Linked DNA regions of Macaca fascicularis. The protein of the gene in region 3 binds, or shares a complex with, the protein of the main gene of each other region. Links are inferred from orthologs where the notes say so. Each region holds a gene or a part of one and is shown on either strand. Other genes may lie near its edges. The genes, in order: NCAPH2, NCAPG2 and NCAPD3.

Evidence for each region.
Region 1: the proteins of NCAPD3 (region 3) and NCAPH2 are in contact, whole or in part, in a cryo-EM structure (PDB 9F5W), measured with the Homo sapiens proteins. The link is inferred for Macaca fascicularis from reciprocal best matches to the Homo sapiens genes NCAPD3 and NCAPH2. Residues at the interface, in NP_056076.1 of Homo sapiens: Arg589, Pro591, Met629, Glu680, Arg683, Tyr684, His690, Lys724, Glu793, Asp800, Gln803, Arg804, Arg807, Gln817, Leu820, Gln865, Leu866, Cys867, Pro868, Ala869, Arg870, Val871, Val918, Ile925, Lys929, Leu932, Gln933, His934, Ala956, Asn960; in NP_689512.2 of Homo sapiens: Trp22, Ser68, Lys69, Glu72, Tyr75, Tyr79, Leu82, Asp83, Ser86, Ile144, Ile145, Pro146, Leu147, Leu148, Met150, Ala151, Leu152, Val153, Asp156, Glu159, Asn161, Asn162, Asn163, Pro164, Leu165, Tyr166, Ser167, Arg168, Gly170, Leu173.
Region 2: the proteins of NCAPD3 (region 3) and NCAPG2 are in contact, whole or in part, in a cryo-EM structure (PDB 9F5W), measured with the Homo sapiens proteins. The link is inferred for Macaca fascicularis from reciprocal best matches to the Homo sapiens genes NCAPD3 and NCAPG2. Residues at the interface, in NP_056076.1 of Homo sapiens: Glu1213, Lys1216, Ile1217, Pro1218, Leu1220, Gln1247, Ser1250, Glu1251, Tyr1254, Lys1258; in NP_001268861.1 of Homo sapiens: Phe291, Lys332, Pro333, Ile334, Trp336, Lys340, Ala341, Arg342, Arg347.

Annotation. Positions count from the first base shown.
Region 1 is NC_088384.1:1,047,144-1,050,786, forward strand, and holds part of NCAPH2 (condensin-2 complex subunit H2), read right to left. Parts: intron 2,412-3,643; coding exon 2,285-2,411; exon of another isoform or gene 2,178-2,284; intron 2,082-2,177; coding exon 1,980-2,081; intron 1,124-1,979; coding exon 1,068-1,123; intron 974-1,067; coding exon 889-973; intron 810-888; coding exon 741-809; intron 578-740; coding exon 498-577; intron 412-497; coding exon 269-411; intron 1-268. UniProt on the Homo sapiens protein: Regulatory subunit of the condensin-2 complex, a complex that seems to provide chromosomes with an additional level of organization and rigidity and in establishing mitotic chromosome architecture.
Region 2 is NC_088377.1:199,966,783-199,970,525, reverse strand, and holds the start of NCAPG2 (condensin-2 complex subunit G2), read left to right. Parts: upstream 1-1,043; 5' UTR 1,044-1,149; intron 1,150-3,743. UniProt on the Homo sapiens protein: Regulatory subunit of the condensin-2 complex, a complex which establishes mitotic chromosome architecture and is involved in physical rigidity of the chromatid axis.
Region 3 is NC_088388.1:132,609,358-132,613,000, forward strand, and holds part of NCAPD3 (condensin-2 complex subunit D3), read right to left. Parts: intron 3,199-3,643; coding exon 3,036-3,198; intron 1,310-3,035; exon of another isoform or gene 1,198-1,309; intron 1-1,197.

The DNA.
Region 1 (3,643 bases), on a different chromosome or scaffold from region 3:
CAGCAGACTCCAGGCCTTGGGCTGGGGGAACACAGCAGGGCCCTGAGCCAGGCACCAGGTCCCTGGCACTGAGACCATGTTAACTTGTAATCAAGGCACAGCAGACGGGTGGGATGAGCACCAGCCAACCTGTCTAGACTGGAGCGGGCACCCAGAGAGAGGGAGCTCCCAAGACCAGAGGTGGCAAGCACAGGGCACCCCACAAGAGTCCACCCAGAAGACCCTCCCTCCCTTCCTTCCCACCAAGCCCCCGCATCCAAGCCCTCACCCTTCTGGGTCCTTGGCATGGAAGCGCCTGCTGGCTCCACGGGGGACATGCCCTCTGGCTCCAACATGAAAGCCCCTCTGGGGTGGGGAACGCACGTGTTCATCCTGAAATCCTTCCGGCTGGCCAGGACCTCACCCTGACGGCTGTGCCGGCGAGAACACGCCCGCTGTAGAGACCCTTCCCAGGCAGGCCTCCCTCCTCCCTCGCCGCCGCCGGGCTCAGACCCTACCTGTACAGGGGACTGTTGTTCTTCTCCACTTCATCAGGGGCCACCAGGGCCATGGGCAGGAGGGGGAGGATGAGGACCTCCTGCATGGAGGCCGAGGCTGGGTGAGCCAGGCATCCTTCCACTCCAGTGGAGAACAGAGCCCACACAGGGCAGCGACACCTTCCCACACCCGATCAGCTCAACACAGCCCCAGGGAAAGTGCTGAGCTCGCCCCAACCTAAGAGGGGCCAGGCCAGGACTCACGCTGGGCGCCTGATCGTTCTTGAGATCCACGTTAGTCCGGGAGTCAGGGAAGTCATCCAGCGACAGGAACTGGAGGGAGACAGAGCTCATGGGGGCCGAGCCCAGGCAAACACACAGTGGGCGGGGGCCACGTGCCCAAGAAACTCACCTCATTCTCTGCCTCCTGGGGGGCCCCAGAGCTGGCATCCCCATTGGCCCTGTCCTCCTGCACCGAAGAGAGCTGCTTGGCCCGCCTGAGAGAGAAAAGTATCCCATGGGCATCCCAGAAGCTGCGGGGGCCTCCCTGGCCACATGCAGGGCAGCACAGTGAGTGGCTCCGGAACTCACCTCTTTCCAGAGATGAAATCAAGGGCCTGGTAGACGAGCGAGTAGAGGTATTCCACCTGGTGACCAGACGCAGGCAGTGAGGACCCAGAAAGGAGGGGCCCACCCCCAAGGCCTTCCCAGCGGTGCCCTCCACGAGGCCTGGCCACTACCACCAAACCTCCAGTACAAGAAACCACCAATTTTTGTTCCAAAAATAATTCTCAAATCAAACCACGAATCTCATGAGAATTACTTTACCAGCTGAGGCCACCCACATCTCTCTCCTGCCTGCTATGTTCCACGCAGCCGCCAAGCATGGCCTTCTCAACGGGTGACCTTGACGGCAGTGTGGTGCCCACAGTATGCCTCACACAGCCCTTGGTGGCCAGGCCCCTCGTGCTTGGCACCCACTCTGCCAATGGCCTGTAGTCCTGCTGCTCCTCCGCCCATGTGCTCCTGCCAGCATCACCCTAGTTCCTCCTCCTCATGTCCTGGCCCTGCCCCGTCCCAGCTCCAGCCGCCACGGGGCCTGCAGGACACAGTCCTTCACCCACTTCCTGTCCTCCTCCTCCGCAGAACCATGAGGGTAGTGGCTGCGGATTTTCGAGGTGCTGACAATGAAGCACCCACAAGTAGAGGATGGGGAAGGGTAAGGTGGGTGCATGGGGCACCCTGGACTGTGCCCAAGTGCACACAGCAGGTGTCATTCCCCCAAGACAACAGAGCCCAACAGCACACAAGACCCTCCCTGCCTGGTTGTGCGATTTAAAATTAAAAAGTTCTTGGTGTTGGAAGGTGCCGAGGAAGTGGCTGAGACCTGAGGAGAGAGGGAGGTAGGTCACAGACGGGATGACCACTGCGCCTGCCCCAGAAGAACTGACTGCGGTCCCACTGGCCACCGAAATGCCAAGACCAGCGTCAAGCAGGGCCCACCTTCTTACTGTAGACGCAGGCAGAGCCCTGGATCAACAACGCTGCCTCAATGAAGTTCATTGTGGTCTTGCCTTCGTCAAAAGAAATGCAGATCTGATCCAGCTGCAAGAAACAACACAAGGGCGGGGGAATCCAAGGCCCAGTCTGCACTTGCTGCTTCCAGGGCAGCCCCACCCATCACTGGTCTCTGCCCAGCACCTCCTGAGACGGGTAGCGCGAGCTCTGCTATGGGCTCCCCGGTTGTCCCTGGTATTTGGGTGGATAGACAGGTCTCCGTGTTTCCTCCTACTTCCTATAACAAAAACCTGTTTTGGAAGTGGAAGGCCCCCAGGGCACACTGTCTGCAAACAACCAGGGCAGCACAGCGGCTCACTCCACAAGGCGCCGCCTCCACAAGGCGCCATAAGCTGACAGGCTCCAGCAGGAAGACCCCTGACACAGAGAAGAAAAGGAAACCTCAGGGGTAGGAAAAGCAGAGACAAAATGCGGAGGTTTCCATCCTTTGGGCAGAGAACTCAGGAAACAGTTACGGATTAGTCATCATCCTTCCTCTGCCCCCCTCAGCCTCCCGGAGCCCCAGCTCCTGTCACCCCTTAAATGTCAGTGTCCCAGGCATTCCATCCTCAGCCTCTCTTCTTCCCATGCAGCCCCCGCCATGCACATTCCTTCATCCCATGCCCAAGCTGCCAACCATGAGCCAACGAGCCCCAAACCCATCCTGACCAGCTCTCTCCTCAACTCTGGGGCTGCATTCACAGCTGGCTGCAGAGTACATTCAAATGTCCCCAAACACTTCACTTCCATACTTAACCCAAGATCCTCCCCAACGCTGGCTCATCTGTATTCCTTCTCAGCAAACGACACTTAGAAAAAACAAAAGGCCAGGCGCGGTGGCTCAAGCCTGTAATCCCAGTACTTTAGGAGGCTAAGGCAGGCGGATCATGAGGTCACGAGATCGAGACCATCCTGGCTAACACGGTGAAACCCCATCTCTACTAAAAATACAAAAAATTAGCCGGGCGTGGTGGCAGGCGCCTGTAGTCCCAGCTACTCGAGAGGCTGAGGCAGGAGAATGGCGTGAACCCCAGAGGCAGAGCTTGCAGTGAGCCGAGATCGCACCACTGCACTCCAGCCTGAGCAACAGAGCAAGACTCCATCTAAAAAAAAAAAAAAAAAAAAAAAAAAAAGGCAGGGCACAGTGGCTCAGGCCTGTAATCCCAGCACTTTGGAAGGCTGAGGCGGGCAGATCACGAGGTCAGGAGATGGAGACCATCCTAACACGGTGAAACCCTGTCTCTACTAAAAATACAAAAAATTAGCCAGGGTAGTCCCAGCTACCCGGGAGGCTGAGGGAGGAGAATGGCGTGAACCCAAGAGGCAGAGCTTGCAGTAAGCGGAGATCGTGCCACTGCACTCCAGCCTGGGCGGGTACATTCAAATGTCCCCAAACACTTTACTTCCATACTTAACCCAAGATCTTCCCCAACGCTGTGGCTCGTTGGTATTCCTTCTCAGCAAATGACACTAAAACAAAACAAAACAAAACAAAACAAAACAGGCCGGTATGGCGGCTTTGAGCGAGACTCCGTCTCAAAAAAAAAAAAAAAAGTTTTTGTAGAGACAGGGTCTCTCTCTGTTGCCCAGGCTGGTCTCAAACTCCTGGC
Region 2 (3,743 bases), on a different chromosome or scaffold from region 3:
TATTCCAACAAGTAATATAAATATTTTTGATACACTAGCCTAAATAAAACATATTTAAAAATCAATGTCACCTATTTATTTTTTTCTAATGTGGTCACTAGAAATTTACAATTGCACTGTGGCTCCCATGATGTTCCTACTGGGTGGTGCTGTGCTCCCACAGTGCAACGACTTCAATCTCGCCGAGACCTCTGGTTTGAGTTCAGCCAGGAAAACAGATACCACTCTAGACATCTCAAGCATGAAAGAACATAGCACCAGGGAAGGCCAAAACCTCACGAAGGGATGCAGAGCTCGGTGGTAAAGAGCACCATTTTCTAAGAATTTGCTTTCAACAAAAATTGGGAACGCCCAATGAAGTTATTCGCTGACACAAATTAAAAGAGATTGATAGATCAGTATGTGCCTTTGGCATTTAAGTCCAAAGAATTAAACGACATTGCTACTCCTCCTTCACACGGGTGCCTTCGAGGGTCCCCGCTAAGGCCTCTCCCTCTCCACCCTATGGGCAGCCTACCTGCCGGGGGTGGGGGGGTAGGAGTTCTGCGGGGGAAGCACCTGCCCAGGGCGCACCTACTGGGTGCAGGCCGGACAGGTGACCCCTTGGCAGGGAGGGCGGTCACGGTAGCCGGCCAGGCCGGGGTGGGGTCCTCCCGGGGATCCAGACACGGCCCTGTGGCCTCTCCCCGCCCCAAACCTTTCCTTCCTCTCCCCGTCTCTCCCTTCCTCTCCTTCCTCCTTCCCCCAACACCGCCCGCTCCCAGCGCCCCGCCCTCTCCTGGACCGCGCACTCCCTCCGCGGAGGCCCCAGGACGCGCACAAGCTCGCAGTGGACGTCGGCGCGCGCACCGTGCATGGGTTCCCCAGCTGTGGCGCCGCGCGTGCGCGTTCCGTGGTGCCCGGTAGGGCACTGGGCTAAGCGCCCAAGAGGCGGGGCATAGACAGGAGGAAGACCGGCGGGCATGTGGGCGGGGCATGATCTGGAGGCGGGGCGGAGCGGGCGTGTGGGTAGGGCCCGAGGATCGCGGCGCCCCAGCTCTCGCGAGAGCGGCGCTGGGTGACGACCGGGAGGGCGGGGCCCGTCTGGGGCGCCGGCGGGTGCGTTTGAATCTGGTCCGAGCGCGGGAAACGGCGGGTCCCCGAGCCCAGGTGAGAGCTGCGGTGCGGAGCCGGGATTGGGTTCAGAGCAGAGGCTGGGAGGTAGCAGGGATCGGGCGGAAGCCCCTCCTCGGCTGGTCGGGGTCCCGGCCTCCACTTCCCTAAGTGGGCTGCCGACCAGCGCGCGGGCAGTGCTGCGTCTGACGGGACCGGACGGAAGAGGCGACCCCGGGCCATCCCCCCTTCCCAGCTCAGCGACGCCCGTCCTTCCTGTCCGTGTCGGAGGAAAATCCCAGCCCCGGGCGCGGGCACTGCCCTCAGAGAGAGTCCCCTCAGCCTCAGGCGCGGGCACGCCCTCAGAGAACGAACCCCCAGCCCTGAGCATGGGCACTGCCCTCAGAGAGTGTCCCCTCCGTCCTGGGCATGGGCAGTGCCCTCAGAGAGTGTCCCCTCCGTCCTGGGCATGGGCACTGCCCTCAGAGAGGGTCCCCTCAGCCCCGGGTGCGGGCACTGTCCTCAGAGAGCGACCCCCCAGCCCTGAGCATGGGTACTGCCCTCAGAGAGTGTCCCCTCCGTCCTGGGCATGGACACTACCCTCAGAGAGAGTCCCCCTCAGTCCTGGGTGTCGGTACTGCCCTCAGAGAGAGTCCCCTCAGCCCCGGGCGCGGGCACGCTCTCAGAGAGTGACCCGCCAGCCCTGAGCATGGGCACTGCCCTCAGAGAGCGACCCCCCAGCCCTGAGCATTGGCACTGCCCTCAAGAGAGTGTCCCCTCAGTCCTGGGCCTAGGCACTGCCCTCAGAGAGTGAGCCTCTCCGTCCTGGGCGTGGACACTGCCCTCAGAGTGTCCCTTCATTCCTGGGCCTGGGCGCTGCCCTCAGAGAGTAAATCCCCTCAGTCCTGGGCCTGGGCACTGCCCTCAGAGAGCCACCCCCTCCGTCCTGGGCATGGACACTGCCCTCAGTGTCCCCTCAGTCCTGGGCCTGGGCACTGCCCTCAGAGAGTAAATCCCCTCAGTCCTGGGCCTGGGCACTGCCCTCAGAGAGCCACCCCCTCAGTCCTGGGCATGGGCAGTGCCCTCAGCGACCCCCTCAGTCCTGGGCATGGGCACTGCCCTCAGACAGTGTCCCCTTAGAGAGAGTCTCCCTGAGCCCTGGATGTAGGCACTTCCCTCAGAGAGTATCTCCCCAGCCATGGACATGGGCATTGTCCTCAGAGACATCAGTCTCCTGAACTCTTGTTGCTGGTTTGGTGCCTCTTGTTGTGTCAATGAGGAAGGAGTTTGGGGACAGAGTGGAAAGTCACGGGTAGTGACAAGGTTACAGGGATTTCTTCTTTTTAATGCTCATCTTGATTCAGTACCGGACCTTCTGTGCGAAGAGTAGCCTGCTCTTTGGACTGATAACTGGGTGGTGAGATGACTCCTTACCTTGAAAGTAGCATTCTGGCTGCAGGGCTGAGATCTTATGCACATATACTACAAGAAACATGGAATATTGCCACTTTGGGAGATAGATTGAAAAATTAACCATTAAAAAATTACAGTCACTAATATAAGAGGGAAAATGGGAAATACAGGAATAAGTTTGGTAGTCTGGAGGAAGTATATTACTGTAGGTTGGACTACAATGCCAAAGAGGTACACCTGGAAATAGAGCAAACAAGAAAAGTGACCAGAACTATGAAAAAGTGGAGAGTTCACAGACTTGCCAGGTGAAGATGTATGATTCCATGTGTTTGCTGCACCTTATTGGATTATTTTTCTAAAATCATGAATTTGTCCTAGCCACTATTCGTTATGCTTGTTGCTGGCCACTCTCCCTTCCCTCCCCCATTTTCTTTGTCAGTAAAATGTATGCGAGTCATGCTTCATTTAAAGAGGGAGAAACGTTGTGGTTAGGCAAGTTCATCATTGAATGAACATCACAGAGTGAACTTGCCTACACCTAGAGGGTGTAGCCTACTGCTGCTAGAATGTTACTGTACTGTAGGCAACTGTAACAATGGTAAGTATTTGCATCGCTAAACATATCTAAGTATAGAAAAGGCACAGTAAAAATATGGCATTATAATCTTATGGGACCACAGTCATATATGTGGTCTGTTGTTGACTGAAATGTTATGTGGTCCATGACTGTGGTTCATAGTTCAGCCATTTGAGTTGAGGAATGAGATGACCAGACTTCACTGTTAACTTATTTGGGGAGTCATTAAACTGAGGTTATTTTCTGCTTTGTTCGATTTAGACATTAAAATCTAGTATTATATGTTTAAGATAACTCTCTATCCCCATAATTATTGGCAGTAATTTTCCATATTGCTCTATTTATAATGGTGCAGGTGGTTTTCATTTATTTTTAAAGTCAGGGGACTCCTACTGCAAATATGTTCCATCATTTGCTATTACCTCATCTTTAGGTTGATGTCTTTTTAGTAGGGCACCAATAGCACCAGGTGTTGTGAATGTGAAATAGAATTTCCTGGAAAAACACAGACAGGATAGAAGGTGTACAAAGTCCCCTGAGCTCTCATTATCCCGAAGGGGTGGGAGGAGAGTGCTGTGGTTACGCATTTCTAAAGGATAGTCTAACAAGATCCCAGGTGACCCCCGCCCCCCTCCCCGGGGCCACTGTTCTCCATCTCACT
Region 3 (3,643 bases):
AATAACTTAACAAAGGCCATCCTGAGAAACCCACAGATAACATCATATCTAAAGGCAAGACTGGATGCTTTCCCCTTAAGATCAGGAATAGACAAGGATCCCCAAGCTCCCCTTCTATTCAACATTGTACTGGCGGTTCTAGCCAGGGCAAATAAGTAAGAAAAGTAAATAGAAAGAACCCAGACTAGAAAGAAAGAAGTAAACCTGTGTCTATTCACGGATGACGTGATCTTACACAAAGAAAACCCTGTTGGAATCAACAGATGAGTTTCGCAAGGTTCTAGGATACAAGATAATCAAAATCAATTTTGCTTCTATACACTACTAATAAAACAATCCAAAATAAAATTAAGGGAACAATTTCATTTACACTAGCACTGAAAATAATACTTAAGAATAAATTTTAAAGAGGAGATGCAAGAGTTGCGCCCCGAAAATTAGAGAGCATTATTGAAACAAATTAAAGAAGATCGACAATAAATGGAAAGACATCCTACAGCCAGAGATTAGAAGACCTAACGTTGTTAAATTGGTAATACTTCACAAACTCATCTACAGTTTCAATGCAATCCCTGTCAAAACCGCAGCTGGCTTTTTTGTTGTTGCAAAAATTCACATGCAGATCCTAAAATTCACATGGAAATGCAAGGGAGGCAGAACAACCAAAATGATCTTGAAAAAGAAAAATATACCGTGATCGAATATTAAGTATTGACAGCATCTCAATCATAAACCCAAAACATTTAAAAACAGAACTGCAAGAATACGGCTTGCTGGAAAGCTGCAAGTGGCCCACACAATTAGTAACAGCCACCTCTTTGCTCTGGCATAAATCTCAATCTTAATCAGAAGAAACTGCATCTGGCAAGATGAGAGTGAAATGGGTTTCTAAAACCACTACTTTTTTGAGAAAGGGCCTGGTTACAACTGAGACACTGCTTAGCAACAAAATCCTTTAGGAACTTACTTATTTCCAAAGTCATTATGGGAGCATTAACAATAACACAAACCAATGTTCAAGGCTTTAAATATAATACCTTTTTGCCCACTCCCAGATCATATGGAATACACCCTGAGCATTAATTACAAATGCTAATATAAACAAAGAGAAGCAGCAAGGTGAGTGATCTTGTCATTTTCTTTTCCATATGAACTCTGGGTTACTGAACTCAATCTCTACGTTCCACTGTCTCTCACCTTGGGTTTGGAGTAGGGAAGAGAATGGATTTCACCGTCACAGGAGGAAAGGCCTCCTCAGTGCTCTGACAATAAAGTAAAACAGTGCTCGAACACAGACTCCTGGTCAGTGCCCTCCTTCACGTATTACTAGCTGCTTTCCTGCTTTCTTGATTAGAATGGTTTTAACCTATTTTTCAACACCAACATCGGAGAGGTAAAAACAATGACTCCTCACAGCAGTTATTTCTCAGTCTAGACAAGGAATCATGAGGAGAAAGGGCAGTATTAGAACTGTAGACGGCGATGGCAGAGGGCGGGCGCGGAGCTCTCGCGGTGCTCCTCAGACGGCTATGGCGGAGGGCAGGCACGGAGCTCTCGCGGTCCTCCTCAGACGGCGATGGCGGGGGGAAGGCAGGCACGGAGCTCTAGCGGTGCTCCTCAAACAGCGATGGCGGGGGGGAGGGCGGGCACGGAGCTCTCGCGGTGCTCCTCAGACGGCGATGGCGTGGGGGAGGCGGGCGCGGAGCTCTCGCGGTGCTCCTCAGACGGCGATGGCGGGGGGTGGGCACGGAGCTCTCGCGGTGCTCCTCAGACAGCGATGGCGGGGGGGAGTGCGCGGAGCTCTCGGGGTCCTCCTCAGACGGCGACGGGCGGGGGGCGGGGGGCAGGCGCGGAGCTCTCGCGGTCCTCCTCACATGGCGATGGCGGGGGGGAGTGCGCGGAACTCTCGCGGTGCTCCTCAGACGGCGATGGCGGGGGGCGGCCGTGGAGCTCTCGCGGTGCTCCTCACATGGCGATGGCGGGGGGGAGTGCGCGGAACTCTCGCGGTCCTCCTCAGACGGCGATGGCGGGGGGGAGTGCGCGGAGCTCTCGCGGTGCTCCTCAGACGGCGATGGCGGGGGAGAGTGCGCGGAGCTCTCGCGGTGCTCCTCAGACGGCGATGGCGGGGGGCGGGCGCGGAGCTCTCGCGGTGCTCCTCAGACGGCGATGGCGGGGGGGAGTGCGCGGAGCTCTCGCGGTCCTCCTCACATGGCGATGGCGGGGGGGAGTGCGCGGAGCTCTCGCGGTGCTCCTCAGACGGCGATGGCGGGGGGCGGCCGTGGAGCTCTCGCGGTGCTCCTCAGACGGCGATGGGCGCGGGGTGGGGGGGCAGCCGTGGAGCTCTCGCGGTACTCCTCAGACGGCGATGGCGGGGGGCGGGCGCGGAGCTCTCGCGGTGCTCCTCAGACGGCGATGGCGGGGGGAGGGCGTGGAGCTCTCGGGGTCGTCCTCAGACAGCGATGGCGGGGGGCGGGCGCGGAGCTCTCGCGGTGCTCCTCAGATGGCGATGGCGGGGGGAGGGCGCGGAGCTCTCGGGGTCGTCCTCAGACAGCGATGGGTGGGGGGCGGGCGCGGAGCTCTTGCGGTGCTCCTCAGACGGCGATGGGCTGGGGGGGGCGGCCGCGGAGCTCTCACGGTACTCCTCAGACGGCGATGGCGGGGGGAGGGCGTGGAGCTCTCGGGGTCGTCCTCAGACAGCGATGGGTGGGGGGCGGGCGCGGAGCTCTTGCGGTGCTCCTCAGACGGCGATGGCGGAGGGCAACGGCGGAGGGCGGGCGTGGAGCTCTCGCGGTCCTCAGATTATTTTTATTCGTTTATAGATAGCATAATTTTGGATGTAAAAAAAAAAGGGAAGGTTTTCAAAGACCTACAACATGCCATGTACTTTACAGACTTGCTCCTCAGAACAACTCTCTGCCATGGGTTAGCACTGCCCCGTTTATAAGTGAAGAAACAAGAAACAAAGTATAAGAATTGAAAAATGTAGAAAGAAAAAAGTGACAGAAGATTTATCCTATCATATCAGGTCTACATACCTGGTACTTCTAGCAGCAAAAAGTAAAGCCCAGCAGCGTGAAGGCCATATTCTCGATACTGTACACTGACATTTGTCTTATGAACTATTTGAACAAAATGATAGAACAATGCCACCAGTGTACTATGGGAAACATTGTTCTCAATGAAGAAGGTCCAGACACTCTGTGGGGAGAGGGCAAATCACAAAAGCCAGTCATCAGAGAAATGGAAACATCAATTATTTGATTTTTGTAAGTTCTTGGTGCCTTACAAAAAGAGGAATAGACTAGCCTGGTTCCTATTGCTAAATGTTTACCATCTTCAAAGGGACTGAAACAAAATATCAAAATTAAAAATATATTATCCAAAATTACAAAGATAAATATGTACATAACATATTTAAATAATTAAACTTTCAAAAGAATTTTTGGTTAAGTTTGTAGCATATAAACTTCAGAAATTACAGTTTAAAACTACACTAACACTTTTGGGACACCATATATTAGTGATTATTCAGAAAAGTTAATCCCTCTATATTAAAAGGAACTCAAATCCGTTTACCAATAATCACTGTGGAAATCAGAGCCTTTTATTTAAATTTAAATGTTCCGCAGATTGCAGGCAATGG